7 linked regions of the Sus scrofa genome follow. The protein of the gene in region 1 interacts with the protein of each later gene in a pairwise test. Links are inferred from orthologs where the notes say so. Each region holds a gene or a part of one and is shown in the gene's direction. Other genes may lie near its edges. The genes, in order: ATPAF2, LZTS2, PKP4, SORBS2, PAK5, FSBP and LRRFIP2.

Region 1 (4,269 bases):
AGCCAAGAAGACAGAAAGCAGGTCTGCTGGAACCAGGAAGGAGGAGAACACAGATACCGGACGGGGAGGTCTGGGCAGACAGGCCAGAGAGACTGGGAGTGGACTGGAAGTGGCCAGGGAACCGGGGAAGGGACTCTGAGAAGCCTGGGCAGGAGGCCTGGCCAGGAAGAGGCTCCCAGGCCAGCTCCCAACAGACTCAGAGGGCCCGGCCTGAGGGGTGGGGCAGGAACCAGGGTGGGCTGGGGGGGGGGGGGTCTCGGGCTCAGGGGACGACGGAGGGAGGCGGCTGACTAAGCTCTGACAAGGAGGAAATCCCAGCAGGAGGAGGCGGGCCCCAGGGCCTGAGGCTTCCCGGGGGGACGAGGAAAGCGTGGCGAGGAGGCACGCCTCGGGTCTGGGAGGGTCCCGAATCAGGGGAAGCCACTGGAGAGCTCGACAGGGTCGGAGAGGGGCTGGAGGAAGAGCTGGTCCTGGGGCGACAGGCCACAGGGAAGAAGGGCCGGGTCTGAGGCGGCCGATTGCCGGCTTGGGCCCGGTGGGGCTCCGGGCAGGCCGGGGCGGGGGAGGCCGACCGAAGGCCTGTCGGCGGCCGCGGGCTCGAGGCGGCGGCGGCGAGGCCCGGCCCGTGGGCGCCGCGAGAGGCCCGGCCCCGGCACTCACCTGCAGCACCACCTCCACGTCGTACGAGTTCCCCTTGCTCTTCTGGTGGCCGCGGAACTTGGAGCCGCTGTAGAGCAGACTAGTAGCCACGCCGGGCTGCTGGGTGTTGATGGGCGGCGGCGGGATGAGCGAGGCGGCCGAAGCGGCCGAGGCACCGGCCGGCGGGGGACACTCGGTGCGGACCGGCATCGCGGGGTCCCCCGGAGCCAGGGTTGGGGGAGGGGGAGGAACCGCCGCCGCCGCCGCGCGGGAGCCGAGGAGGGCGGCCGGGGGCAGGCCAGCGCGCGCGTGGGGCGGGAGGGGTCCACCTGCCCGCCGCCTGCGGACCGAGCGCTCCGGCCGCCACCGGGACCCCGGGACCTGCGAGCGGGGCCTCCGGGTCCTGAGCGAGCCCCCTCCCCGCCTGCGCTCGCACACACACCCCTTCCGATTGGCTTGGGCGCGCCGTGGGGCGGGAGCAGGCTGGCACTGCGCTTCCGCCCATTGGCGGGCGGAGACAGCACGTGGCAGGCGCCGAGGCTCTCTGGGACTTGTAGTCTTCTTCCGGAGGTGCGGTGCGGGGGCGGGGCCGAGGCGTTTGTGATGCTGATTGGCTGCGGCGTGCGGGGGAGCGCGGCGACGGCGCGCCGCGAGTGTCGTGCACAACATGGCGGCGCCCAGGGATGCTGAGGACGCCGGCGGCCGGTGAGAAGCTGCGTGTGTCCCGAGTGCGCGGCGAGGTCGCTACGTCCCGTGTGTCCTGCCCTCAGATCTTGCGCGGTCGTCCTCCCAGGTCCCCGCGCGATGTGGAGGACCTGCCTCCGGCTGCGGGACGGGGGACGCCGCCTCCTGAACCGGCCCCGGGGTGGCCTCATCGCCTCCGAGGGGCGGGGGCCCAGTCCCCCGACCCCCGCCCGGGCGTACGCGCCCCCGGCAGGTGAGGGAGGCCAGGTCCGAGCCGGGCTGAGGGGTGGGCAGTGCAGGGCGGTGTGGCAGAGCAGGGTCATAGGTCGGGGGGAAAGTCCCCCGCCCCAAGGGCAGGGACCGCCCCAGGGCACACGCGCGTCGCGGCTGGAGACAGTCGTTTGCTTTTGCACTGCGGCTTTCGTCCCTTCTCTTAGGGAAGCAGATGTCATTCCTGTTCTCCGACAGGGGATATTAGGATTCTCGGTCAGGATCGCGCCAAGGTCACAGAGCAGACTCTCTGAGAGGTTTGTGAGGCAAGGGCCGGGTCTGCCGGGCTTTCTGTGTCCCTGCGACCCTGGCACTGAAGGAGCCCAGAGCCCAGGCTTTCAGTCGTCCATCCCGGCCACTTTGTCCGCAGATGTCTGGCCCTTCCTCCTACTGCCCTCCCACAACCCCTGCTATCTCTACTAGGGAGTTGACACTCCGTGCCTTCTTCCTACACTTGCGACTCTGAAGCTTAAAAGGTAGTGGCTCTTTCATTGCTTCTGGGGAGAGGGTTTTAGGGTAAGAGCAGAGGTGATTTCCTTTAGCCTTTGTTGTAAAGCTGGTTTAGTGGTGCTGATTTCTCTTAGCTTTTGCTTATCTGTAGAGCTTTTGATTTCTCCTTCAAACCTGAATGAAAGCCTTGCTGGGTAAAGTAATCTTGGTTGGAGGTTTTTTCCTTTCATCACTTTAAGTATATCGTGCCACTCCCTTCTGGCCTGCAGAGTTTCTGCTGAAAAATCTGTTAATAACCTTATCGGGGTTCCCTTATATGTTATTTGTTTCTTTTCCTTAGCTGCTTTCATTATTTTCTCTTTGGCTTTAATTTTAGTCAGTTTGAGGAGTACATGTCTTGGGGTGTTCCTCCTTGGGTTTATTTTATATGGTACTCCTTGTGCTTCCTGGATTTGAGGGAGTGGTTCCTTTCCCATGTTAGGAAAGTTTTCGGCTATTATATCTTCAAATATTTTTTCTGTTCCTTTCTCTTTTCCTTCTGGCAACCCTATAATATGGATGTTGGTGTGTTTAACATTGTCCCAGAGTTCTCTTAGACTGTCTTCATTTCTTTTCGATATTTTTTCTCTTTTCTGTTCCACATCAGTGATTTCCACTAGTCTGCCCTCCATCTCGTTTATTTGTTCTTCTGCCTCCTGCATTCTGCTGTTGGTTGCTTCTAATGAATCTTTGATCTCAGTTATTGTATTTTGCATGTGTGCTTGCTTAAGTTTTAAATCTTGTACTTTTTGCTCAATGTTTGCTGTAAATTATCAGTCTTTCCCTTCAGTTTATTTCCAATGTCTTGCATCATATTCAGCATCATCAGTCTAAAGAATTTTTCCTAGAGGCTGATAATCTCCAGATCCTTTAGCTGTTTTTCTGGAGTTTTTTCTTTCTCTCTTATCTGAATTATAATTCTCTGCCTTTTCATTTTTATAGGTTTTTGGTGTGGTGTCTTTTTTTGCTGTAGCCTCTCTTACTTCTGATGTCTGCCCCCCCCCCTTGTGGCTGAAGTTGGTACAGGGGCTTGCCTTGCGCTTCCTGAGGGGAGGGACTGGTGCCTGCCCACTGGTAGGTGGGGCCGATTCTTTTCACTTTGGTGGGTGGGGCTTTGCCTCTGGGCAAGATTAGAGGTGGCTGTGTGCCTGGGGGGTCTTTATGGTTGGGGCTGTGATCCCACCTGGATTATTGTTTGGCCTGGGGCTGATGGGTGAGGCCAGATTTTCCCCAAGTGGCCACATCTAGAGGAACAAATGCCGTTGAATATTCTGGAGACCTTTGCCTGCAATGTCCTTCCCCCACCATGAACCACAGTCACCCCCTGTTTTCCCAGGAGATCCTCCAAGAACTGCAGCCAGGTCCCATCCAGATTCCTATGGAGCCTTTGCATTGCCCTGGGACCCAGTACACATGAAAGCCTGTGTGCGCCTTTCAAGAATGGGGTCTCCGTTTCCCCCGGTCCTATGCACAAGCCCCACTGGCCTTCAAGGCCAGATGCTCCAGGGGCTCTTTCTCCCAGTGCCAGATCCCCAGGCGTGGGGAACTGACGCGGGGGTCAGAACTCACCCCCATAGGTGAGTCTCTGTGATAGTTACTTTCCAGTCTGTGGAGCTTCCCACCCGGGAGGGATGGGGTTGCTTATATGACGTAATCGCCCCTCCTGCCCCGCGACGTGGCCTCTTCTTTGTCTTCTGGAGGAGGGTATCTTTTTGAGAGGTTCCAGTTCGTTTGGTTGAAGGTTGTTCAGCATTTGGCTGTCATTTTGTTTTCATGAGAGAAGGGGCGCTCCAGTCCTTCCCCGGGAGCCACTCCCTGGAGTGAGAGACACATTCTTCTTCCCTTGGCTTAGTGTTTCTGTGCTGAGGGCAGGAGGCACCGAGGCCTTCAGGAGAGAGGCGGCCTCCACCTAGAGGGTGTTCACTGTCAAGTGCGGAAGGTCGTAACATCCTGCTGGGACCAGAGCCTCTCCGGGCCTTTGAAGAGGAGTGTACAGAGAACACCTGCTCCCTTCTCGTGGTGTTGAGGGTCCAGAAAGGGTCTCGGGTGAGGGGAGATCAAGCTCAGTCTTGACAGATGGGCAGGGGTTCAGCAGGGAGGAGGAGGGCGAGTGCTGGGCACCTAGAACCCGCCCAGAGGTGACAGCGGGGCACGAGGGGCCTTGCTGTGACACTCTCTCCCGTGGGA
Region 2 (4,554 bases), on another chromosome or scaffold:
ATTTTCCTCTTCTTGCATCCTCTCAGCGTTTATGTTAATGTGTGTCAGGACTGGGGCTCCTGTTTAAAAATGCAGAACCTAGGCCCTGCTGTCTCCCCATTCCTCACACGCACAGGCATTTCTAATTCTGGAGGTTTCAGGAGATGTACAGGACTCCTCATGTGTAAGAAGTCCTGAAAGAAATTAGACGATAATTTATCCAGAGACCCTGACAAATATTCCTAAATAATGACACTTTTCCATTTCATTTCCTCTGATATCCCGAAGTGCCCGTTTCCTTTTAGATTTGCCTGCAGAAGTGGTGAGAATGCAAGCTGTTTTAAAGGGGCTGGGGAGAAACCTTTTGTAGAGGGGGTTGGGGGAGGTTTCCTGCTCCCTGGAAGCAGGGCTGCCTTATCAAGGTCTCCCTGTAACCTGAGAGGAGGCTCTGGACCCCTGTGGGATGGATGGTCTGGGGTCTCTGGTCTGTGGTGTGTGAGAACTGTGACTGCAGTTGTCTTCTGAAACAGACCCTGGAGCAAAGCCATTCCCTGGGGGGGAGGGGGGAGATCCTCCAGGGCCTCCCTTCTTGGGGGTCTCTCCCAGACTGGCTGGAGCCAGCTCTCCTAATCCCACAGTAATCATTCCCAGCCGCTGGCTGGTCTAGGCCTCATCCAGGGGCTACAACACTGAACATCAGCCATGCCTTCCAGATGCACCCCACCAGATCAATGCTACCTAGAAAGGTGTTGGTCTGGTCTCCCTAGAATGCCTGGTGTGTTCTCAGGAAATACTTTAGGAGTTTCCATTAGGGAACTTTTGCGAGGTGTCTGTGTGAACTGGCTATAGAGGAATAGATACACACTTGCCCGGCTTGCCCCACCCTCCTAGCAGACACCACCACACTGCACAAACCAGCTCGGGGGAGGGGAAGCTAATTCTCCCCCAGCCCCACCCCGTACACAAGCACATTCCATTCCACACCTGTCTTAAGCTCCTAGCATCAGAATTAGCCAGAAGTATGTTCCGGAGTAACTGCAGCCTAGAAAGTGGCAGGTAATCCCTAGTTCCTGGGTAAGGTCCCTGGGACTCCCTGTCCCTGTACTCAGCCAAAGTGGATTGAGGCAAATCACCTGGGCTAGAACCAGCATTCCATGTGCCCAGTTGGACATTTAGAACCTTCCTGAGAGCTGAGGAAGAGCCTGACAGAACAGGGTCCCTGGATCTGCAGCGCTGTCTGCTGTCTTCAGACTCATTGTCACACTTAGCTGTGTGGGGGCAGCTTTGGTTCTCCATCTTGCATTTGAGAAGGGACTAAACTCACAAGACTCCGGCTACCCAGGGCTCAGGCTGCAAATACAGCCCAGATACCTGTAGACAGCACAGTCTGCCCTCACAAAGGCCACTTTGGGTGCCATGGAGGGAGGGAGCCCTTGGTTCCTCCCTGCAGTACAGGTCAACTTCCTGTTTGTGCCTGTGGGTGGAACTTTTACGAGTCTAGGAGAAGCGTGGCCATACTCTGTGGGGGCCCAAACCGGCAGGCCGGCTCACCTGGGCCGACACCTACTCGGGGAGGGGGAGGTGCTGGTCCTCAAGGGCAGCCCCAACGCCGAGGTGTGTGTGTGTGAGGAAGGCGGGGTCTGTTTTGGTGAAACCCGAGCCTTCTTTGTCTGCTTCCCAGGGGTTTTCCCCATCTGGGGACTGGGCTGAGCATGGACCAGGATGGGCTCCCTAAAGCGCTGAGGAAGGTGGCTGTAAAGCCCTACAGCCGACTTGGTTAGGACAGCCAGCCAGCTTAGCTGTCACGTGCCACTGGCCCCTTCCCCGAGCTGAAAGACAAATGCTGTAAGGTGTGAAGTCAGAGGCCAGAGGAGCAGTCCTGGGCCACCATCGAGCCACATCTGGGCTGGGCACTGGGTCGGTTGTTGAGGGGGTGCTGCGCAGACCACTCCCCTGTCGGGGTCGGGGGCGCGGCCTCAGCCGCCCCGCCCCGCTCCTCCAGGCCCGGCCGGACGGGCGCTGGGAGTCCGCAGCCCGGAGCGGGCTTGGGAGCCGGCCGATCTGCGGCGAGGAGGTGCTGGCGCTGGAGCAGGAGCCGGGAGGGGAGCTGGAGCGGCGGCGCAGGTGGCCCTAGGTGAGTGCGTGGTGGGGCCGCGGAGGTGTCGGAACTCTAGCTCCTGCACAGCCCCGCGCCGGAGCGAACTTTACCGGTCTTGGAAGGTTGGGGGTTGGAGTGAGGAGGGGAGTCCCCAGTGCAGGAGGCACAAGCGAAGAGTGTGAACAGGGAACCTACACGGAACCTCACACTCACGGGTCCAAACACGCGTACACACAGACCCACGCGCGCACCTGAGACAGACGAACACACGTGCACCCTAAAGAGGACGCGCCCAGTGAGCTGTGCCTGCCGTCCCTGGAACAACGCCACTGGCCCGCGGGACCCCCAGCGGGCAAGGCGCGCTGCTGCCGCGTACTTGACAGGGGTGGGAGGAAAGACCCAGGGACCGCCGACGGGGGCGGGCCGGGTGGGACAACTCCAGAGGTTCCTGCTTTCCGGCAGCCCGCAGGTGAAGACTAAGACGTAAACAGGAGCCGAGCACGTGATCGTAGCGCAGACCTGTGGGCTGTGCTCCCCCCACCCGGGCCTCAGGGCGGGAACCGCCCGCCCCGGTGCAGGACGGGCTTGCAAGGTACCTGGCCGGGCTGTAGTCCATTCTCCACCTCCCCCGGAAGGAGAACACAACGCCCCCTGGAGTCGGGTTAGCGAAGGAGAACAGGAGGCTGTTGGTCTGGCCTGGGGTTACCTGGGCTCTTCGCCCTTCCTTCTCCCCAACATGGTGCCCCATCCCTGAAGATATTGGGGGCGTGGGGGCGATATTCTGGATGGCAGCGTATAGCAGCCAAGGGAGCAGCTACGGCAGCGCCTGTGGGTGCCCTTCCTACTACCACCCCTCCCTGCAGAGCTAGGAGCTCCTCCTTGCAATGTAGGAACAGAAAGCCCACGCATGCAAGAGTGGGAGTCCCCCTTCCCCAGAGAATGCAGGAGCGTGCACATCTCAACACCAGAGAGGGCCTGTCTCCCTCCCGTAGAAGGGAAGACAGCCCCCTCCCCCCAGGGCATGAAAGTGGGCATCGGCCCTCGGCCTCCTTCCTCACCCCACCCCCCACCCCTACACGCACGCTGAGCCCAGCTGCTGCCTGAGCTTCTGGGCTGGCTGCCAGAAAGGGGAGGCGGCTCCTAGTGCCCCAGGAGGCTGGGATCAGGGCAAGGCCAGAAGAGGGGGGGGGGGTCTCTACCGGAGTGGGACTCAGTCTGTTCTTGTGAGCAGAGGGTCTAGGGTGAGCCTGCGGGTGGCTGAGCTGTTTCCCTTTCCAGGGAAAAAGAAAGAAAAACAATCCTTTCCATAGAGCTAAAAATAGAGCTGAGAGCCTGCCAGGGCTGTGGCCTGGAAGGGGGGGAGATGCTCCTTCCTGGGGTAGAGGAGCTGTGGCAGGCCTTGGCCCTGGATGGGGCGGAGTTAGGGGCCTGGAGGCTGTCCTTGTACAGCCGTGTGGGCATCAGCTGACCTGACTGGGTCACAGAGACCCTACGGGAAAGTCTGTGTGATAAAATGTTTGTGAAATACGTTGTGTACATGTAAGAAGACGTTTTTTGACTGTGAATAAGACTGTCAGTGTGTGAAAAATGCTTAGGAGACTAAGTGTATTTAAGATTGTGACTGGGTGCGAAGGACTTCGAGCTGTGAAAGCCTGTGTACAACTAGGCATGTGAAACGAATGTCTCTGTGTGTTGGCCTGAAAGATTATGGGAAGAAGAGACATGGAACCTCGTGATGAAAAAGACTGTATGATTGTGGCTGTGTGAGACTGTGGGAAAGGTCGTGTGGGTGTTAAGACTGTTTTGTTTGCCGAGCTGAGAATATCCGTGACCCTGAGAAGACAGTGGGATGTTGTGTGCTACGCGGCTGTGTAGGTTTGGCCTGTAGGCTTGGATGGGCTCACCTCAGTGACTGTTGGGCCCAGGGGCTGCTTCTCTCGGATCAGTGGCCTCTCTCTTAGGAAATGACTCTGAGGGAAGGCTGGGGAGCACTGAGCCGCGCTGGGGAAAGGCCTAGGCTTTCTAGGGTAAGGTCCCCCAAGGTTGGCGGTGACCGAGTGTGTTCTCCGAATGGGCCGCCAGGTGGCGCCACCTCCACAAATCCAAGCGTGCCTCCTCCAACCGGCTGCGGGTGGGGCAGACACCCACCAAGCCTTGGCCCCCGACTTGTGCTGGGGCGCAGGGCCCCGAATCGGGGGCAACTGACCCTCCGCCGCCCCCTCTGGACTCCGAAGCTGGAGAGTGTGTCTGGGGGAAGAGGCATCGACGAGACAAGAGAAGGGGGAAGGGCGGCCGCCTCGGCGCCTGGCCCTTTGTGCTCGAACAATGACCAGCTGCCGCTGGCCCCGGGGCCCGGGTAGGGGTAGAGGGTGACCTGCCGCCGCCGCCGCCTAATCCTGAGCCGACCGAGACCCCAGACACTGGCCCTCGGAAGGAGGGAGCCTGAGTCCCGCCGCGCAGCTCCTGCGTGTTGCCCG
Region 3 (3,764 bases), on another chromosome or scaffold:
CAGTGAGGATGACTGTCTGTCCAAGTACCCTAGCGATTTCTCTGGAGCAGAAAAGTGGCAAGATGATCAAAAAAATTAGGCAAACACTAAGCTTCTCTTAGTACAATATAGGAAGCCCTGAAGGTACACACAGCAGTGGGCCAGGATTCCCAGTGCCAAAGGAGAAACACAGTATAACTTTGGCCCAACAGTTTAAGGGAAATTTTTAAGCATTAAGAAGCGTTTCTGTATTAAAGCAAATGCAAATATGATACATGAGTTCTTAAGCTAAGATAGGAAATCCTGTACCCCTAGCAAACTACTTCTAGCTGTACCACGCCCCACCACCTCCCCTACTTCCACCACCTCCCCTACTTCCACTATCCCACCCCAGCACCACTGTTCCTCAGAGGTACATTTACTCTTCTGATGGAAGAGTTCGGGAAGCTTTGGACTAAGTCCTTACAGGAGTTCATGTGCTTAGGTGAATTTTCTGCATCAGCAGGTCTAAAGTCACGTTTCTGAATACTAATTAACTATAGAGATTATCCATTTTGTCCCTAAAAATGGTCATGTTACCTTTTTATTTAATTTTTTTTTTACTTACAGCAAGATGATTTTGTTCCTGGAGCTGAAGATTGCAAGAGGGTCTTTAAAACTGCTTTTGCAATAAAACTGCTTTTGCATATAGTCTTGGCATCACAATTTCTAAGTATCTGGGCCAAGTGTCATCCCATTTTTGATAGTAAACAGCTAATATGTGGAATTTTTTAAAAATCACCTTTTGCACTATTAGTAAACCCCAAAAGCAGTTCTTTTTCCAATGGTCTACTAATTTTTATACCCCCTCTTTCTTGTTGTGTATTTACAGTCCCCTCCCCAGATCTCCACAGCTATTGCCTTCCCAGAATTGTTGAGTTTGAGCACACAAGTGGTCTTAGAGCAGGTGTTTCAGCCAGCCAGCTGCTTCTGACACCTGGACACAAAGAGAGTCCTTAAGTTATCCCTGTTTCTTCCTTTCTTACCCCGGCTAAAAGTGGGGTTGATGACACCTGTACTGTAGCAGTCACTGGGGAGATACCAAGCCACCCAGTCCTAGAGTCCATGTCCCTGCCTGGTCCCATCAGACCAGTGCCCCAGTCCAGCCACCATTCATTATTCTGCTGCATCAAGGAAAGGATCTGAGACTCAGTCTGGAAGAGTCTACAGATTCAAAAAAGGACCAGTCATGGCAGAAATGTTCTTCATTTCCCAGTATGGTCTTTTCCAGCTGGCTAGGCCAAGAACCCAGCCGAGATTTTGAGCATTCCTTTTGCTGGAACAAATTTGAGGGCACCTTGACATGCGTCTCTTTAAATCCACCAGCTAAAATTAAAAGCTTATAAATCAAAGGATGTAGAAACGGCTGAAATCACTAGCAGCCACACTTGAGCTAAAAGAAGAGACAGATTGGCTAAAGCGCCTGTGCACCCAAGTTGTCCCTTGAGAGTAAATTGACAGAGAAGAGTACTGCACCCCAGGCCCTATCCAAACATTCAGTTACTCCACTTTGAAAGAGTACATTCCTTTTGTTAATGGGGGCCAATCCATGAAGACAGTTCTAAAGACAATTATAGATACTCCTCTCACTATATTTAGATTAACGTATTGAAAACATTTTTTGTTTGTTTGTTTTACACAAATGCATTATCTTCGCCAAACTTTAACTCACAGGCACCACATAAGTATACTGCTCCAGTGACCCTTCACACTTGCAATACAACATATTGTGTGTTGTGGAGAATGAATAGGCAGAGGGTTAAAAAATGTAAAGACAAACGTAAAAGGAATGTTAACTGTCTTTAGATCTCTCTTTACTGGTTGGTTTTAGTATGCCGAAGGGAGAACGTAAGGGTTTAATCACCAAAAAAAAAAAGAATAAGGAAAAATTAAGATCCAGCTCTAAAGCATAGAAAGGAAAAGAAACTTAGAAGCCTAAACTAAATAGTGAGTGCACATTCTGTAGTGAGCTGTGTGCATTTTTTTCTGTAATGACAATGGAGACAAAACCCTGGATAAACCCATTCTCTTTTTTCCCCCTTTCATCAGCCATCAGTAGCCAATCGGGCCATGAGAAGAGTTAGTTCAGTTCCATCTAGAGCACAGTCTCCTTCTTATGTTATCAGCACAGGCGTGTCTCCTTCAAGGGGGTCACTGAGAACTTCTCTGGGTGGTGGCTTTGGCTCTCCATCAGTGACCGACTCCCGACCACTGAACCCCAGTGCGTACTCCTCCACCACGCTACCTGCTCAGCGGGCAGCCTCTCCGTACTCTGCACAGAGACCCGCCTCCCCATCAGCTGTACGTCGGATTGGGTCAGTCACCTCCCGGCAGACCTCCAACCCCAACGGACCAACCCCTCAGTACCAAACCACCACCAGAGTGGGGTCCCCGCTGACCCTTACGGATGCACAGACTCGAGTAGCTTCCCCATCCCAAGGCCAGGTGGGGTCATCATCCCCCAAACGCTCAGGGATGACCGCCGTACCACAGCATCTGGGACCTTCCCTGCAGAGGACTGTTCATGACATGGAACAATTCGGACAGCAGCAGTATGACATTTACGAGAGGATGGTTCCACCTCGGCCAGACAGCCTGACAGGTGAGTACAAGGTGACAGCACTGCACACAGCCCAGTGGGGAAATCTTCTGTGAGGCCTCTCTGAAATAGAAAAGGCTTCCACATCGCCGTAATGTGGGAAAAGCTTATATTTTTATCTCAGAATTTATACTGCAGACCTTAGGCTGACTTGTCTTTCAGACTTTCTAATTTTTAATGCATCTAATTATATATACATATATATTTATTTATATCATCAGACTTCTTTTACAATGAATATATGTACCCCTTCCCCTATAATATTAGGATATACAAGGTACTTTTTTTTTTTGCATTTTAGAAGAATTGGTTGGAGTTGTAAACTGTTTGTTGAAGTTTTTCATAGTGAAATATTTCTCACTAGCTAGGCCTACCCATACCCAAACCAATAAGTTATGTTAAAAGGTGTCGTCAGAATGCCTGTTCAAGGAGTTCCCATTATGGCTCAGTGAAAATGAATCTGATTAGTATCCATGAGGACACAGATTTGATCCCTGGCCTCACTCAGTGGGTTAAGGATCCGGCCTTGCCATGAGCTGTGGTGTAGGTCGCAGATGCAGCTGAGATCTGGTGTTGCTGTGGTTGTGGCGTGGGCCAACGGCTGTAACTCCTCAACCCCTAGCCTGGGACCCTCCATGTGCCACAAGTGCAGTCCTAAAAAGACCCCCCCAAAAAAGAAGAAGAAGAATGTCTGTTCAAATTTTTTTTTTTTTTTTTTTTTAGAAGTTCACATTGTGGCTGAGTGGGTTACAAACTTGACTAGTGTCCATAGTAAGGATGCAATTTTGATTCCTGCCCTTGCTCAGTGAATCAAGGATTCAGCATTGCGTGAGCTGTGGTGTAGGTCATAGACATGGCTTGAATCTTATGTTGCTGTGGCTGTGGTGGAGGCTGGCAGCTGCAGCTCCAATTCAACCCCTAAACCAGGCACTTCCATTTTCTTCAGGTGCAACCCTCAAAGGAAAAAAAAAAAAAATGTTTTTTTAAATGCCTTAATAGTGCAGACTAAAATGTGGATTTCCTTACCTACTGCCTTGATTTTTAGCATCCTGATGGGAAACGCACCAAGTTCTTACAGTTTATCTTCGTATGTCACTTGGATTAAATTAGAAAAACATCAACCATGTTGCTGATATTACAGACACTT
Region 4 (4,200 bases), on another chromosome or scaffold:
AGGTACAGCCCTAAAAATACAAACACACACACACACACACACACACACACACACACACACTCAAATACTTTAAAGATATAGTCCAGGAGTGGAAATTTAACTAAAGTTTAACATAGAAGCAGATACATTTTTAATGAGGTTTTCATCAGATATTATTTATAAACAGGTAGTTTAAACACAATGAAAACTTGGGGATATTCAGGGGGAATGGTTGCATATGAGTGTGCAGTTTGCCTTTTTCCCTTGTTTTCAGAATGGTTCCACTTAGGAAACAAGCTTTTTTCCCAAATTTGCCGATGTCTGCAAATAGTATTCTGCCCAGAAGGGAAGAAAAGAGCTAGTATGATTCATTTGAAGCAAATCTCCAAGAATATCAAAATGGAGTATTTATGGCTGTGAGAGGATTGATTTATCTGCAGAAACAGGTACCACTTCTCCCCCTAAAACCAGGGTCATCCCTTGAAATAGGCTGGCTGGGCAACTGCCTCCTGAAAAAGAGATGAGGACCTCTGACCAGCTCCCACCAGCCCCCAAGTAGCTCCCCACACCCCGTGAGCCTCGCATCCTAGCTGGTCCGAAATTCCTGCCCATGGGGTCAATCCTATGTTTCAAAAATACAGATAACCTGCTTAAAATGAATTTACCTGTGAGAGGAAAGTGTGTGCAACTTCCGTTAGCCTCTTTTAGGGACCTTAAATGGTCAGGTAAGCTCCTGCACCCCTTTTAAGGATGGAAGTAGTCCAGAGGCGATTTTCAATTCGTGCAAAGCGTCTGGCCGACAGAGGTTTAAACTGTAAAGAAAGGACCAGAGCTGGGAGAAAGGACCCTTTGAGGAGGGGGGCCTGATGGGGCCTCCGTGCAGGAGGAGTTGGCTGTGGGCAGAGGGATGGTAGCCTGGCACTTGGTGACGGTGGTGGGCCTAGAAAAGCAAAGAGGAGACGGAATAGTGGGTATAAACCCTACAAACACTATAGTCTTGGCCTACTCATTCTATGAAAATGTGGTGATGAAGCTTTGTTGGAGAAAGTTTGTTTTCAAGAAAAAGCGCAAAGAAAGTAGGAACGAATTAGCAAAACAACGCAGGGTTGCCAAAGCCACGCTGCCTGCTTCAGCCCACCTGAGACCCACCTGAAAATACCCCCAATCTACCCAATTCTATTTAATTCTGACGGTTAACTGCAGTATGCAACACACCAAAAATAATGACAACTCTTTGCACAGTTTCCTTTTTGCAGTTGTTTCTTGCAGAAGTACAGTCCAACTCAGTCAAAGAGTGTATATATGATGCTAAAGTTAAGTTTTCCTCAGTTTGATTTCATTGCTGTTTTGGTTGTTTTTGTGATTGCGGTGCCAATCCCGCCCACTTATTTACTGTAACGTTTCTTTTCTAGAGCCAGAATAGGACAGACTCATATACCATTCTGATCTGGGTGCATTTCTTCAGAAGGTACGCTGTGCTCATGGGAACCGCGGCTGCCTGGGGCTAACGAGGCCAGGCGGGAATCAAGGCATGTGTTTTAACAAAATGTTTTCCCAGGGAAGTCAAGGAAATAAAATGATGGGCGCCAAAGAATACGAGGCTCCTCTAACCTCCCCTTGACATCCATTCCTATCCTGTCCCAGCGGAATTTCTGGTGAGATTCCGCAGACATGCCCTTGATTTGCGCTGATTTAAAGGAGGCCAGGGGGGAAATCGGAGGAAGTGAGGCAGGGAAAGGCCAGATGGGTGGTTTTAGAATTCTTTACTCTGCATTATTTTAGAACGAAATATTTTGGCTGGAGGGTCTTAGGAAATCTGTGAGGAAACTAGAACCAGGCCCCACCCTTGTCCTAAAAATCCTCCCACCTGCTGCTTCTCAGTTACAGGCAGGCCCTATAGTCCTATTTGCTATAGCGAGTGGAAGCTTCTTGCTCACTGACACTTCATGGGGTACAGGGAAGTCTCTTATCACCACGAACACCCCTGATGGCAGGACTGCTGTGGGCCTCCAAGCCATGTGCCCATGTGGAATTTTCCCTGGCTCTCCACCTGGCTCAACTAGGCTCCAGTGGTGGACAGGACAGCAAAGCCCTCACCTGGATGTCACTGTCTGTGGCTTCAGGCTGGTTGGATTGCTTCACCTGCCAATGCCCAGGCTTCTTGACCCTCTTTGTTTCTGAAGTCACCCTGGCCAGATGTGATCTGGATTGGACTCCACCATATGTTGTTCATCTAGCTCATCACAGAGGAATCTACCCAAACCTACCCCCTTCCCCTTGGAAACCTTGAGTAGTTCTCTTACCCCTTCAAGGCAAATTGTTGCAACCTTGGATTGCAAAAGAAGAGATGCCTAAAGGGTACCTTGTAGTCCTTGTACTCATTTCCTGGCATTGCCTGAACAAAGAGCAACAAACTGAGTGGCTTAAAACAAAATAAATCGATTGTCTGGCAGTTCTGAGGCTAGATGTCTGAATTCAAGATGTTAGCAGGGTCACACTGCTTTAAAAGCTCTAGGGAAGAATGCTTCCTTGCCTCTTCCCTGCTCCTGGTGGTTGCCAGAAATCTTTGGCATTGCTTGGCTAATGGCAGCATCACTCCAATCTCTGCTTCTGTTGTCACGTGGTAGTGCTCCTTTTTGTTGTGCATGTGTCTCCAGATCTCTCTCTACTCATAAGGACATCAGTCATTGGATTTGGGACCCACTCTATTCCTCTGTGCTTCATCCTAACTTGATTACATCTGCAAGGACCTTACTTCCACATGAGGTCACTTTCCTAAGTGCTGGAACTAGGATTTCAACATATGATTCTGGGGACACTGCTTACCCTACAATCGCCACTACTGGGCATGGGTCATCTCTGAGCAAGAGGCAGCTTCCATGTGTGCATCCCAAATTTGAAGCACACACTTCAGTCCCCAGATTCAGCACTCACCCTCTGCAGGGGCCATGCAGGGCCGTGGCCTGAGTTCTTACCGCCCAGACTGGCCCACCTGGTCCAGGCTATTTCTGAGTGAGGTCAGAGCATGGAGGACTAATCACCCCTCACTATCATTCAGGCACTTTGGTCCATGTGAACTTTAAACCCACAAGTTTCTTTTTCCTAAGTACTATGACCATCCTATAATAGATCATTCATATATATATATATATATATATATATATATATATAATGATTTTTATTTTTTCATTATAGTTGGTTTACAGTGTTCATTCTTTTTTTCACATTCTTTCTGTCACACTTGGATGCTCTTCCGATCCACACACAGTATTGAGATTATCTTCCAAGGGAATGAGTTTTCCTAAAAGCTCATGGGTTCCCTTGATTGTTCTGAATTTAGAGATTTGCAGAATACCCTGGAGTTACTTATTCCTAAACAGACAATTTATAAGCTCATCAATCTCCATTGAACTTCCCATTTTCTACTCATAGATAACTTTTAAAAGGAAACTTTGACTTCCTCAACTGTAAATTGGGTTGGTTTTAAATGCACATATTTTTCAAGAAAGCAGATCACATATCAGATTGTGGAATTTACTATCCACAATTTACCATAATAATCTGTGTGATATTTTTTAGTCCTCCATCTTCACACTAATTTGACTGTATATCCAAAAAGAGACAGAGACAGAGTCAGAATGAGAGAGAGAAAGTCCACTTTCTAAGTCAGTGCTTAGTCACTGCATCTGACTTTGTGTTAAGACAAAGAGAATCCTACTGAAAAAGTAAATACCAAGAGGCTTAGTTAGGTATGACAGTGCAAGACATTTTATAAATATTTTGATACACAGATACGAGAGAAAGTAATTTATGAGATGGTTATTTTGCATTATGCTATGTTCAAAGCCAATTGAAATTCCTCATTTGCATTAACCATCTGAGCTGTTTTCCACTTGGAAGAATGTTCTAGTCTGCGTTCCAGGTCCTTCCATATTAGGTGGGTAGCATTAGAGCCTCTGTATTTGAATCTGTTCAGATGAGACTGTGTATCAAAATAAGTTCTACGTATAGATAAAGTAAGGTTTTAAATTAACCAATGGGATTGAGTTTTTTTAATCCCTAGCCATTTAAAGAATATGAATACTTGACCATGTAAAAAAGATACAAAAGAGTGAGGAGCATGAGTCATTTTTCCCCAATAGAAGGAAATGACCGTTCAGTGATTTTCATAGGAAAAGTATTCAGTAAGCAGATAACATCAGTTATTTAAAAAATATCAAC
Region 5 (3,764 bases), on another chromosome or scaffold:
TTCAGCTTCTTCCAGTCCCCAGTTCCTGATTTCTGGATCTTATTTCCACATCACAGTTCCCAAACAGATAGGGCAAATATAATATAGTCAAACTGTATAATTTATTATTTAACACTCATTCTAAAAATGTCACCAGAAGCAGCCATAGGACAGCAATTCCTGGACGTTCTCTCCAGCAAGCAAACACAATTTGGCCTTTTTATGCTAAGTCATAATGGTTTTACCTGTAAGACTTATTGTTTTTGTTCAGCCCAAACCTCTCTCAGACTCAACCCCAGTCCTCCCAAGAAGTTCAAGTGGTCCCATATGGCTCCAGCCCTAATAACTGTTTACCTTGTTCATTTGTGAGACTCATTATCCTTGAGCTGATGACCTTTTCCCCAGTTAACCATTAGCAGAGTATTGACAGTGCATTTTTTTTCTTTTTAGGGTGCACTTGCGGCATATATAAGTTCCCAGGCTAAGGATCTAACCAGAGCTATAGCTGCCAACGCACGCCACAGCCACAGCAACGCAAAATCCGAGCTATACCACAGCTCACAGCAACACTAGATCCTTAACTCTGGACAGTGCATTTTATTTTAACTTTTTAATGTTTATTTTTTGCTTTTTAGGGCTGCACTTGCAGCATATGGAGGTTCCCACGCTAGGGGTTGAATCAGAGCTACAGCTGCTGGCCTACGCCACAGCCACAGCAATGCAGGGTCCTAGCTGCATCTGTGACCTATACCACAGCTCACAGCAATGCAGGATCCTTAACCCACTGAGCAGGGCAAGGGATTGAACCCACAACCTCATGGTTACTAGTCAGATTCGTTTCCTCAGTGCCACAATGGAAACTCCCCTGAACAGTGTATTTTAAAAGGCAACCCTTGGGCTAGCTAACCACATTCCCAAGAATGGTCAACTACACTCCCTCTCGTGAATGTACACCTTGCCATGGTTCTGCCTGCTTTCTCTCCTTGTTCTCCCCTCAACCCAATGTCTGGTGGACCTACCACCTTCTCTGAATTTACAAACTTGATTCCCTCGGATCCTGCTAGCTACTCTCAAAGCTGTCCCATCATCTGTAATAGACTTCTGAAAGAAAAAAAAAAAAAAAACCCTCCCCCAAAATCCGTGCTTCTCCATCAATCGAATTCACAGCCCAAGTGGAGCCATGAGAAAAGAAAAAGCCAAATTTCACTGTCCCAAGTCAAACACTATCTTTCCATTTTGCCCAGGTTGTGATAATGCGGGATTATCACCATGACAACGTGGTTGACATGTACAACAGCTACCTTGTCAGTGATGAGCTCTGGGTGGTCATGGAATTTTTAGAAGGCGGTGCCTTGACAGACATCGTTACTCATACCAGGTAAGTTTCTATATTATCCAGACAGATCATTCAAGGTCTTATTTGTCTCCTCTGGGGTGGGCTTCAGTGACTCTCTTGATGGACACTCCATAACTTGTAAGCACTTTGAAGGCAGAGACATGACTATCCTTTTCCTCTGTATTCTTCAGGTGCCCATTATAATATCATGTGTGTATAGTTCATTCATTCCATTTATATCTCCTCACCCTCCAAAAATTCATTGATGCCCATTGATTACTTTTATTTTTTAATTGTTTTGATAATACATTTTATTTTTTCTCTATCAATATGACTCTATTTTTTTATTAAAGTATAGTTGATTTACAGTGTTGTGCCAATTTCTGCTGTACAGCAAAGTGACCCAGTCCTACATATATATGTACATTCTCTTTCTTATATATCTTCCATCATGGTCTATCCCAAGACACTGGATATAGTTCCCTGGACCATACAGTAGCACCTCATTGCTTCTCTATTCTAAATGTAATAGTTTTCACCTACTAGCCCCAAACTCCCACTCCATCCCCTCACTCCCTTGGCAACCACCAGTCTGTTCTTTACGTCTGTGAGTCTGTTTCTGTTTTGTAGGTAGGTTCATTTGTGCCATTTATTTATTTACTTATTTGTTGTCTTTTTAGGGCTGTACCCAAGGCATATGGAAGTTCACAGACTAGGGCTCAAATCAAAGCTGTAGCTGCTGGCCTACACCACAGCCATAGCAATGCAGGATCTGAGCCACATCTGTGACCTATACCAAAGCTCACAGCAATGCCAGATCCTTAACCCACTCATGGATACTAGTTGGGTTCATTATTGCTGAGCCGCAATGGGAACTCCCATATGCCATTTTTTAGATTCCACATATAAGTAATATCACATGGTATTTGTCTTTCTCTGTCTGGCTTACTTCACTTAGTAGAATCTCTAGTTACATCCATGTTGCTGCAAATGGCATTATTTTGTTCTTTTGTATGGTTGAGTAATATTCCATTGTGTATATGTACCACATCCTCTTAATGCATTCATCTGTCAATGGACATATAAGTTGCTTCCATGTCTTGGCTATTGTGAATAGTGCTGCTATAAACATAGGGCTGCATATACCTTTTTGAATTACAGTTTTGTCAGATACCCATTGGTTTTATTTTATTTTTTAAGGTTTTTGTTTTTTCTATTATAGTTGATTTGCAGAGTTCTGTCAATTTCTGCTCTACAGCAAAGTGACCCAGTCTCTATCTCTCTCTCACACACACATATATACATTCTTTTTCTCACATTATCCTCCATCATGTTCCATCACAAGTGACTAGATATAGTTCCCTGAGCTGTACAGCAGGATTTCATTGATTATCCACTCCAAATGCAACAGTTTGCATCTACTAACCCCAAATTCCCAGTCCATTCCCACTCCCTCCCTCTCCTCCTTAGCAACCACAAGTCTATTTTCCAAGTACATGAGTTTGTTTCTTTTCTGTATATAGGTTCATTTGTGCCATATATTAGATTCCAGGTATAAGTGATATCATATTGTATTTGTCTTTCTTTTTTCTGACTTACTTCACTTAGTATGAGTCTCCAGTTTCAGCCATGTTGCTGCAAATGGCATTATTTTGTTCCCTTTTATGACTGAGTAGTACTCCATTGTGTGTATATATCACATCTTCTTAATTCATTCATCTGTCAGTGGACATTTAGGTTGCTTCCATGTCTCAGCTATTGTAAATTGTGCTGCTCTATACATAGGGGTACATGTACCTTTTTGAAGTACAGTTTTGTCAGATACCCATTAATTTTAAATCAGCAAGCTGCTGAGAATGAATTTTCAGTGAAAAATAATAGAATTTCCCATCCCTACACAGATTTCTAAAACTCAGTTTCGTTCTCCTGAGTCACTATTCCTTTGCTGTGTGTTGATAGCACTGAGGGTACCTATGGAAGGCAGGGGCAGGCGAAAGATCAAAGTTTTATGTCACAACAACAGAAGAGAGAAATTCTTCAATTCTGTTTTTAAGTCTTCTTGCAGAGAACAGTGGTTAATTACCACTGTTGCCTCAGCTACTTGCTTCCCTGGTATTCCAGTTGTGGTCATTTCATCAAGTATTTATTGATCGTTTTTTATGTGCCAGGCACTTTCCTAAATGCTGGTAATACAAAAGATAACAAATGGGTAAGGCTCAGATATATACATTCAAGGAAGTCACAGATTAGAAATAAATACATGGATTTTTCCCTTCGTGGCACAGCAGGATCAGCGGCATCTCTGCAGCATCAGGACACAGGTTTGATCCCTGGCTGGGTGCAGTAGGTTAAAAGATCTGGTGTTGCTGCAGCTGCAGCATAGGTTGCAACTGTGGCTTGGATCTGATCCTTGGCCTGGGAACTCCATATGCCACAGGTAGCCAAAAAA
Region 6 (4,297 bases), on another chromosome or scaffold:
GATCCCACGTTGCTGTGGCTCTGGCATAGGCCAGTGGCTACAGCTCCGATTTGACCCCTAGCCTGGGAACCTCCATATGCCGCAGGAGCGGCCCAAAGAAATAGCAAAAAAAAAAAAAAAAGAATATATATATATATATTTCTGGAGGCTGGCAGCTATAGTTCCGATTCAACCCCTAGGGTGGAAACTTCTATATGCCATGGGTGTGGCCTAAAAGAAAAAAAAATTCTGGATGTTTAATTCTGATTTGAGGTGACTAAATATTAATTTTTATTTGTTTAGGGAACTGCCTGTCATATTTACTATGTATTTGTTGATAGTGTCTCTGAGTATCGTCTAGTTTATTTTCTTTATTTTCATTAAATATCTTGTTCCTGTGGTTCTGCTGTAGCAGATTGCATTCGGTGTCCAGTGTAACATTTGCCATATGCTTTATTCCATTCTCTTTTTCTTTATTGTTCCAATAAGAGTAGTAACTTTGGCCTCTGCATTTGATTCTGTATAAATGGTATACTTTTTATATTACAAAATTCTTATTTTTTCAGCTAGAAAAATAACATATGATTAAGACAGAATAATTCAGTTAGTAATCAATTAAAATTGATGAAGAGTAGCCTATAATATGTGCTGTCTGAATAAAATATTCAGAGTGATCCATTTAAGTTACATCAGTGCATAGGAAAAAATAATTTAAACAGGTGATGGTGATGTGACTATGTGTAATGTCAAAGAAAAATTGTACCAGGTAAGTTAAACAGGCAAGAAGACTTAATCAAGACTATTACAATAAAGGAGAGAGATTGAAGTCAACTCCTAATACAACAGGGATTTATAGCCAACAGGCAGGGTAAGGGAGTCAGTGGGTGGAAAATTACTAAGTGGAGCTTGGTTAGGTGTTAAGGATAAGTGTATGAAGAATTTGGTTAGGGGTCAAGAGTAGGAGGATTCTACATAAGCAAACAAGTTGTGGGTAATGGAAAAATATGCTGCTTCAGTTAAAAAATGTTGTTTAATTAAAATTGAATAAAATTAAAAATTTAATCTCTCAGTCCCAGTAACCACATTTAAAATGCTCGATAGGCACATGTGACTCATGACTCCTATAATTGGTGGAGTTTTAGATCTTTTTGGAGTGCATTTTCATACATATGTACCTGAATTCTGTAGCTACATACGTATTTTCCGTACCTACAGAAATATTTGGCCTTGGGTGTTTTTTGGTAAGCGTAATGGGATTGTATGTATTTTTGTTTTACTTGTTTTTCACTTATGTATTTTGGATCTTGTCAATACATAGAAATCTGCTTTAATTTTTAAATTTTTATTTATTTTACTTAAGTATAGTTGATCTGCAATGTCTTTTTCATATTCTTTTCCATTATGGTTTATCACAGGATACTGAATATAGTTCCCTCTGCTATACAGTAGGACCTTGTTTATCCACTCTCTCTGTAATAGTTAGCATCTTCTAACCCTAAACAACCAGACCATCCCACTCCCTTCCCCCTCCCTCTTGGCAACCACAAGTCTGTTCTCTATGTCTGTGAGTCTGTTTCTGTATCATAGATAAATTCATTTGTGTCATATTTTAGATTCCACATATAAGCAATATATGGTATTTGTCTTTCTCTTTCTGACTTACTTCATTTAGTATGATAATCTCTCCATCCATCCATGATGCTGCAAATCTGCCTCTTTATTTTAATGCTGCCCACAGTAGACCATAGTGTGGATATACTCTAGTGACTTTAACTTGTCCCAACTGATGTGCAACTGCCAAGAAGGCTTTGTTGGTGTTTGGTGTGTATTTTTCAAGGTAGATTCTGAAAAGTAAAATTACTGCAATTTCAGAAGCTTTTACACATGTAAACTATTAATATATACTCTTAAATTGCCATCCCAAATGCCATTTTACACTCCTGTGAGCGGTACACAAGAGTATTTTTTGCTCTGCATCTTCATCCACTCCAGACATTTTCAGTCTTTAAGAATTTTGCTGATCTTAAGGGTGTGTACATTTCCTTGACAGTGAGATTGAACTTTTTTCATATTTCTATTAGTATTTCATTCTTAACACAATGCCCATATTTCTTCCAAAAATAAAATGTTATTTAAAGACAGGATATATTCTGTGTTCTTGTTTTCCTTTGAGTAACTGGTTAGGTTGTTGGAGCAGGTCAGTTTTCAGTTTGCATCTCTATGACAGGAATCATTTACAGTACTATTTTGTACAGTTTTACTCAACAAAAACTGCTCAAAAACAATGAAAGGCTAGGACTACTAAAGAATGAGATTACTTAGTAGGGTATGTCAGAAAACACCTAGCATTCCATAGAGCTCCCAGCAACCTTTCACTTTTTTTTTCCCTGACAGATAACACGTTTAAAGCTCTTAACCGTATTGTCTGGCTTATAGTGAGAATTCAGTAAATTTAATTCTCTTCCATTAAAAGAACGAAAAAGAAGGCAATTGAAAATTTATGGCATTTCTGTAGAACTGTAGTTCTCTGGATAGGGCTGTATCTAGATTCACTTGTTTTCCTTGGACCTTGCTCAGTACTTGGGAACATTTTTAATGGGGGTTCAGTAATTGTTTGATTGAATGGAACTGTGTTCAAGTATGTTCTAATTCATTCTCCTATCGGACAAACACGTATATCAGGAGAAAATAAGCTTATTTCTTTACATTGTTATTTATCACTTTTTCAGACAGGGATTAGAACATATACTCTAAGCACATAAATTGGTGGCCTTGCAAATGACTACAACTAGCTGTTTCCTTTCATAGTCCAAATTGCGTGAATATAGCTAAATAAAAATCCTCCTCTACAACAATAGCAAATGCGATTTTGTTGTATTCAGTCTTAAGGCATTATTATGCTGTTCTCACTGTGAATGGTGTTTTTTTATACATGGTAAAGCAGGCTAGCATATTTATGTACGTTACAGCTGGAATAATCCATTGCTTTAAAACCCTAATTTTTATCTGTTTTTTAGATTTAGTGTTCAACAAAAATTTCTTAAGTAACTGAAGAAAACAACGCGGTGGCTACTGTAGACTGTAAAATGAAGGAGAAGCTTAGCTTTACTGTGGAGTCTGAGCTGGGTGTAACCTAACTAGCTAGAGGATATGTAATTCCTGATTGACAGCAGGACCAGCATTATGCAGATTTTGTAAGAGAGAACAGCAGCTCAGAAACAGTGATTAGGGGCTCTGTTAGGAATCACTAACATTCACCACTCACATCTTTAGTTTTTCATTTTTCTGTCTACTGGATTTATAAACAAATAGCACAAAACAGTTCCTCTTTTGTTTTTATTAAAGTGATACTGCACTGCAGTTTCAGTCAATCAGCTAGGCAAACGTGTTGAAATTCGATATTCTCACTAAATTAGCTAATTTTTAGCTGTGCTCCATGCTTATCTCTAGACCTTTGTGTATTGAATCCTATCTCGAGCTGTTCTCTTTATACACAAGTGTGTTTTGCTTGTGCCTTCCTGTCTTCTTCAGTGAGAAGCTTTATGTAGGTCAGGCTTGGCTTAAGCAGATTTCCTGAACCTGCGTCAGCTTAAGCTGGAGGAATTTTAATAAACCCTCCCCTGTAGGCGTGGGCCTAAATGAGGCTAGCCTAGTTAAGCCTGATCTTTTTCTGTTTGTGAAAAGAGCTGAGCATAGCTGAAGGCTGCATGGTGGTTTCAGAAACTGCCTACTTAATTTGAAAAGAACAATGGTAGGAAAAGCTAGATCTTCCAATTTTACCTTACCTGAAAAGCTTGATTTGCTAAAGCTTGTGAAGCCATATGTTAAAATTCTGGAAGAACACACTAACAAACATTCAGTAATAGTGGAAAAGAATAGATGTTGGGATATCATAGCAGTTAACTATAATGCAATTGGAGTAGACCGCCCTCCTCGAACAGCGCAGGGCCTACGCACTCTTTACAAAAGGCTCAAAGAATATGCCAAACAGGAGCTATTGCAGCAAAAAGAGACCCAATCAGATTTTAAAAGCAATATTTCTGAGCCAACCAAGAAAGTTATGGAGATGATTCCCCAGATTTCCAGTTTTTGCCTGGTAAGAGACAGGAACCACATACAAAGGTAAGCTTTATTTTATTTTGTTGTGGAAAATTATGGCGCCTCCTATCTATTGGGTTCTGGCTTAGATGTGATAGAGGTATGCATAGTAAGCATCCCCACTAGGGGAGAGTGAATAGTGTCTTTGTTTTGCATTCTTAGAAAAGTGAGGCTATAAGGAGTTTTTCTGCTGCATTTGATTTAAGCCACTTTTTATTGT
Region 7 (3,764 bases), on another chromosome or scaffold:
TTTTCTGTCCCCTGTCCTCTTCCCTACCATGCACGTGTCCTCTTCATCCCTAGGTTCTCCTAACATAGGAGCAGTGTGACTCCAGTTTGTTTACATTATTAGGACTTTGTACACACTGCTTCCAGTGGAGCCATGGAGTGTCCTAGGATCACCTTTCATCTCCTTCACCTTTCCTTTCTTCCCCTAAAGTTTGTATTGTGAGTTTTCTCTTCATTTGCTTGATTTCTTATGTTCTCTGTTCCCAATCTGGCGGCAGACTCCAGCAGTGGTTGAATGTTTTCAGATGCACCAAGTATTCCCTCAGCTCCCTCTTTTTGGTTCTTGGAGCATCTGACTCATCCCCTCTGAGCTTAATGGCTACTCCCTTGTGACCACTCTGCACTGTCATCTCTTGTTTCCTTGACCCACGGCCGTGGTTTGGGCTAGCTTCCCTTTGGCAGTGTCTTATGCCTTCCTCCTTTTTTCTTTTTTTTTTTTTTTTTTTTTTTTTGTCTTTTTAGCTATTTCTTGGGCCGCTCCCGCGGCATATGGAAGTTCCCAGGCTAGGGGTCGAATTGGAGATGCAGCCACCGGCCTACACCAGAGCCACAGCAACGCAAGATCCGAGCCGCGTCTGCAACCTACACCACAGCTCACGGCAACGCTGGATCATTAACCCACTGAGCAAGGGCAGGGACCGAACCCGCAACCTCATGGTTCCTAGTCGGATTCGTTAACCACTGCACCACGACGGGAACTCCCTTCCTCCTTTTTTCATTCTCTTGTTTTGGTTCATCCCCCAGTAGCTTCCTGAGGAAAAAGTTTGGGGGCTGTACTTTGCAGGACTAAAAATGTCTTCATTTTACCTTCTTACGTGATAAATAGTTTGGTGTGGGTTTAGAATTCTTTGTTGTAATCATTGTCATTCATCTTTTTCTTTTATTTATTTATTTATTTAATTTTAATTTTTTTTTTTTTTTTGTCTTTTTGTTATTTCTTGGGCCGCTCCCGAGGCATATGGAGGTTCCCAGGCTAGGGGTTGAATTGGAGCTGTAGCCACCGGCCTACGCCAGAGCCACAGCAACGCGGGATCCGAGCCGTGTCTGCAACCTACACCACAGCTCACAGCAATGCCGGATCGTTAACCCACTGAGCAAGGGCAGGGACCGAACCCGCAACCTCATGGTTCCTAGTCAGATTCGTTAACCACTGCGCCACGACGGGAACTCCCATCTTTTTCTTTTAAAGAAGGAAATCACAGGAGTTCCCACTGTGGTATAATGGGTTAATGATCCTCCCCTGTAGGAGAGGGCAGACTTGCTCTGGTTTGTGCTGCTTCCTGCATCTCTGAAGTTGAGTTGTTGGCATTTGGGGCTTTGATTTCTGTTGGAGGAGTGGTTTAGTCCTTGAGACATATACTCTCACTTTCTTACTCTTCTTTCCTGTTTTTCTGTCCCCTTTCATCTCTTTTGTTCTGCTTTCTAAAAGATTTTTATCTTCTCATTTCTGTTGGGTTTCAATTTCTGCAGTCATTTCAATGATTCAGATATTTTCATATATCTCATAGGATATTGATGGGCTGGTTGGTTTGCTTCTTAATTCTTTTTTTCTATCTGCATAGTTTGTTTCCTTCTACATGCTGTTTTATGTATTTTTTTTGTCTTCACTTTGAAAGTAGAATACTAAAAAGCTGGTGGGCAGCTCTGAGTTTGTGGGTGGGGCTCATTCAAGTTTCTGTGAAGATTGATGAGGCTGATGTTTTTGTCAGGAACCTTCAATGTGAGCATATTGTCTTTTATTTTAGTCTAGTCAGAATTCTAGAGAGCTCTGTCTTCTGCCTGAAGCTATAGGCCCAGCTGCACGCAGCGTGCGCACTGAGGGTGGACCAGAGGCCTCAGCATGCGGTTCGTCTCTGTTCATCTCACCTTATTTTCCACATGTGGGACTCCTGCCTCTGACTGGGCCTTCTTTTATTCCAACCCAGTGTCCTTCCTAATGTTATGTTTTAGTTTATTTTGTAAATTAAAAAAAAAAAAAAACCTTTATTAGGTAATAATTGGCATAAAATCAGCTGCACATACTTAAAGTGTACAGATGTCCATACCCGTATTTGGGCTGCCATAACAAAGCACCACAGACCAGCTGGCATAGAACAGAAATGTACTGTCTCACAGTCTGGAGATGGGATGCCCACAGTCCTGTGTTATCAGCGTGAGTTTCCTCTGAGGCCTGTGATGGGAAGTCAGCTAGAGAACGCCTCTCTTCTAGCTTCTGGTGGCATCCTCGGTGTCTATACATGCCTTCCCTGTGTATATACCATATCTTCAGATGGTATTCTTCTAAGAACACCAGTCATACTGGACTAGAGGCCCACCCTGTTCCAGTACGACTTCTTCTCAGCTAAGTGCACTTGCAGTGACCGTTTCCAAATAAGGTCACATTCTGAGGTCCTGGGGGTTAGGACTGCTACATAGGAGGGGACAACAGTTTAACCTGTGGCAGAGCCTGTAAAACCATCACCACAATCAAGACGGTGAAAATATCTGTAACTCCCCAAGTTCCTGTGTTTCTTTGTATACCTTCCTTTCTCTCCCACCTCCCTCCCCTTCTCCAGGCAACTGCTGATCTGCTTTCTGTCCCTTCAGTTTGCATTTTCTGGGGTTTTTCACGCAGCATAGATTTAGTTTGAGATTGACCATGTTGCTGCATGTATTGGTAGCACATTCTCTTCTACTGAGTAGTGATTCCGTTGCATATTTGCACCACAGTTTGCACATCCCTCTGTTGATGGACATTTCTTGTGTTGGCTATTAATGAATACTGCTATGAATGGCCTTTATTTTGGGTAAAATAAGGTAGATTACATAGCCAAACTCAAAAATATATTTCCAATTATTTCTCTATACAGTTTTCTAAATAAGAATATTTAACCTAACTCTGAAACATCTAACTGCCCATGGGATTTTCCATTTTTAATAAAAATAACAACAAAAAAATACACAGAAGATGTGTTTTTCCACAAATAACAAAACATGGCTGTTTGCTTTGGGACCCCCAGTCCTGGAGCCTCTTTTGATAATCTGTTCGTAGCTGCTCTCCAGCAACTGAGTAGTGTCCCGCATGGCAGGCCCTGCAGAAAACAGCTTCTGAAGGAATACATGCGGCCTTGCTCTAAGATGTGGCCACTGGGCTGAGCATCAGTTTCATTTGAGAGACTGGATCTCACTGGTGAGCCTTTACTTCCTCTTCAGGTTAGAAAACTGAAGCTGCAGTTGGAAGAAGAGCAGCAGAAGTGCTCCAGGAACGATGGCGTGGCGGGTGACCCTGCAGGACTGCAGAACGGCTCAGACCTGCAGTTCATCGAGATGCAGAGTAGGACTGGGCTGGGCACCACTCCACGTGGGGCGGGCTGTGTCCTAGGTGGGGTGCGAACGGGCACTAGATCCCACGGCTCACGTTTCTCAAGCTATGTTCTGAGATTGGTCAGTCCTTGGCCAGACCAGAACAGCCGTCCTGATCAGTCATGGACCTGAAGAGGCTGCTTCTAGCCTGTGTGTTTGCAGGGGTGATGAGGACTGTGCTTCAAGGGGTGACGAGGTACTGCTCTCCCCCGTTTTGGGCAAAGTGACTTCTAGAACACTTTGCACATGGTGACTTCGTGACACTCTCATTTTCCACATCCCTGTGTCATCTGTAAGCATCCTTCCTAATTACATGTTTTGCTATGGAATTATCTTAGATAATTGGAGGGGGATATTTGAAGTCACACTACTATTGAGTAGTTT

What was found.
Region 2: the proteins of ATPAF2 (region 1) and LZTS2 interact in binary tests that used the Homo sapiens proteins (3 or more experiments, as listed by UniProt). The two-hybrid records come from large-scale screens. The link is inferred for Sus scrofa from reciprocal best matches to the Homo sapiens genes ATPAF2 and LZTS2.
Region 3: the proteins of ATPAF2 (region 1) and PKP4 interact in binary tests that used the Homo sapiens proteins (3 or more experiments, as listed by UniProt). The two-hybrid records come from large-scale screens. The link is inferred for Sus scrofa from reciprocal best matches to the Homo sapiens genes ATPAF2 and PKP4.
Region 4: the proteins of ATPAF2 (region 1) and SORBS2 interact in binary tests that used the Homo sapiens proteins (3 or more experiments, as listed by UniProt). The two-hybrid records come from large-scale screens. The link is inferred for Sus scrofa from reciprocal best matches to the Homo sapiens genes ATPAF2 and SORBS2.
Region 5: the proteins of ATPAF2 (region 1) and PAK5 interact in binary tests that used the Homo sapiens proteins (3 or more experiments, as listed by UniProt). The two-hybrid records come from large-scale screens. The link is inferred for Sus scrofa from reciprocal best matches to the Homo sapiens genes ATPAF2 and PAK5.
Region 6: the proteins of ATPAF2 (region 1) and FSBP interact in binary tests that used the Homo sapiens proteins (3 or more experiments, as listed by UniProt). The two-hybrid records come from large-scale screens. The link is inferred for Sus scrofa from reciprocal best matches to the Homo sapiens genes ATPAF2 and FSBP.
Region 7: the proteins of ATPAF2 (region 1) and LRRFIP2 interact in binary tests that used the Homo sapiens proteins (3 or more experiments, as listed by UniProt). The two-hybrid records come from large-scale screens. The link is inferred for Sus scrofa from reciprocal best matches to the Homo sapiens genes ATPAF2 and LRRFIP2.

What each region holds. Positions count from the first base shown.
Region 1 is NC_010454.4:60,616,368-60,620,636, forward strand, and holds the start of ATPAF2 (ATP synthase mitochondrial F1 complex assembly factor 2), read left to right. Parts: upstream 1-1,274; 5' UTR 1,275-1,443; coding exon 1,444-1,576; intron 1,577-4,269. UniProt on the Homo sapiens protein: Plays a role in the assembly of the F1 component of the mitochondrial ATP synthase (ATPase).
Region 2 is NC_010456.5:112,076,538-112,081,091, forward strand, and holds the start of LZTS2 (leucine zipper putative tumor suppressor 2), read left to right. Parts: upstream 1-1,673; 5' UTR 1,674-2,113; intron 2,114-3,290; exon of another isoform or gene 3,291-4,433; intron 4,434-4,554. UniProt on the Homo sapiens protein: Negative regulator of katanin-mediated microtubule severing and release from the centrosome. Required for central spindle formation and the completion of cytokinesis.
Region 3 is NC_010457.5:65,619,775-65,623,538, forward strand, and holds part of PKP4 (plakophilin-4), read left to right. Parts: intron 1-2,067; coding exon 2,068-2,620; intron 2,621-3,764. UniProt on the Homo sapiens protein: Plays a role as a regulator of Rho activity during cytokinesis. May play a role in junctional plaques.
Region 4 is NC_010457.5:46,724,671-46,728,870, reverse strand, and holds the start of SORBS2 (sorbin and SH3 domain-containing protein 2), read left to right. Parts: upstream 1-1,391; 5' UTR 1,392-1,447; intron 1,448-4,200. UniProt on the Homo sapiens protein: Adapter protein that plays a role in the assembling of signaling complexes, being a link between ABL kinases and actin cytoskeleton. Can form complex with ABL1 and CBL, thus promoting ubiquitination and degradation of ABL1.
Region 5 is NC_010459.5:18,481,747-18,485,510, reverse strand, and holds part of PAK5 (serine/threonine-protein kinase PAK 5), read left to right. Parts: intron 1-1,223; coding exon 1,224-1,357; intron 1,358-3,764.
Region 6 is NC_010446.5:42,302,046-42,306,342, forward strand, and holds the start of FSBP (fibrinogen silencer-binding protein), read left to right. Parts: upstream 1-1,326; 5' UTR 1,327-3,727; coding exon 3,728-4,101; intron 4,102-4,297. UniProt on the Homo sapiens protein: Transcriptional repressor that down-regulates the expression of the fibrinogen gamma chain. Represses transcription of GSK3B gene promoter via its interaction with APBA1.
Region 7 is NC_010455.5:21,781,633-21,785,396, forward strand, and holds part of LRRFIP2 (leucine-rich repeat flightless-interacting protein 2), read left to right. Parts: intron 1-3,230; coding exon 3,231-3,351; intron 3,352-3,764. UniProt on the Homo sapiens protein: May function as activator of the canonical Wnt signaling pathway, in association with DVL3, upstream of CTNNB1/beta-catenin.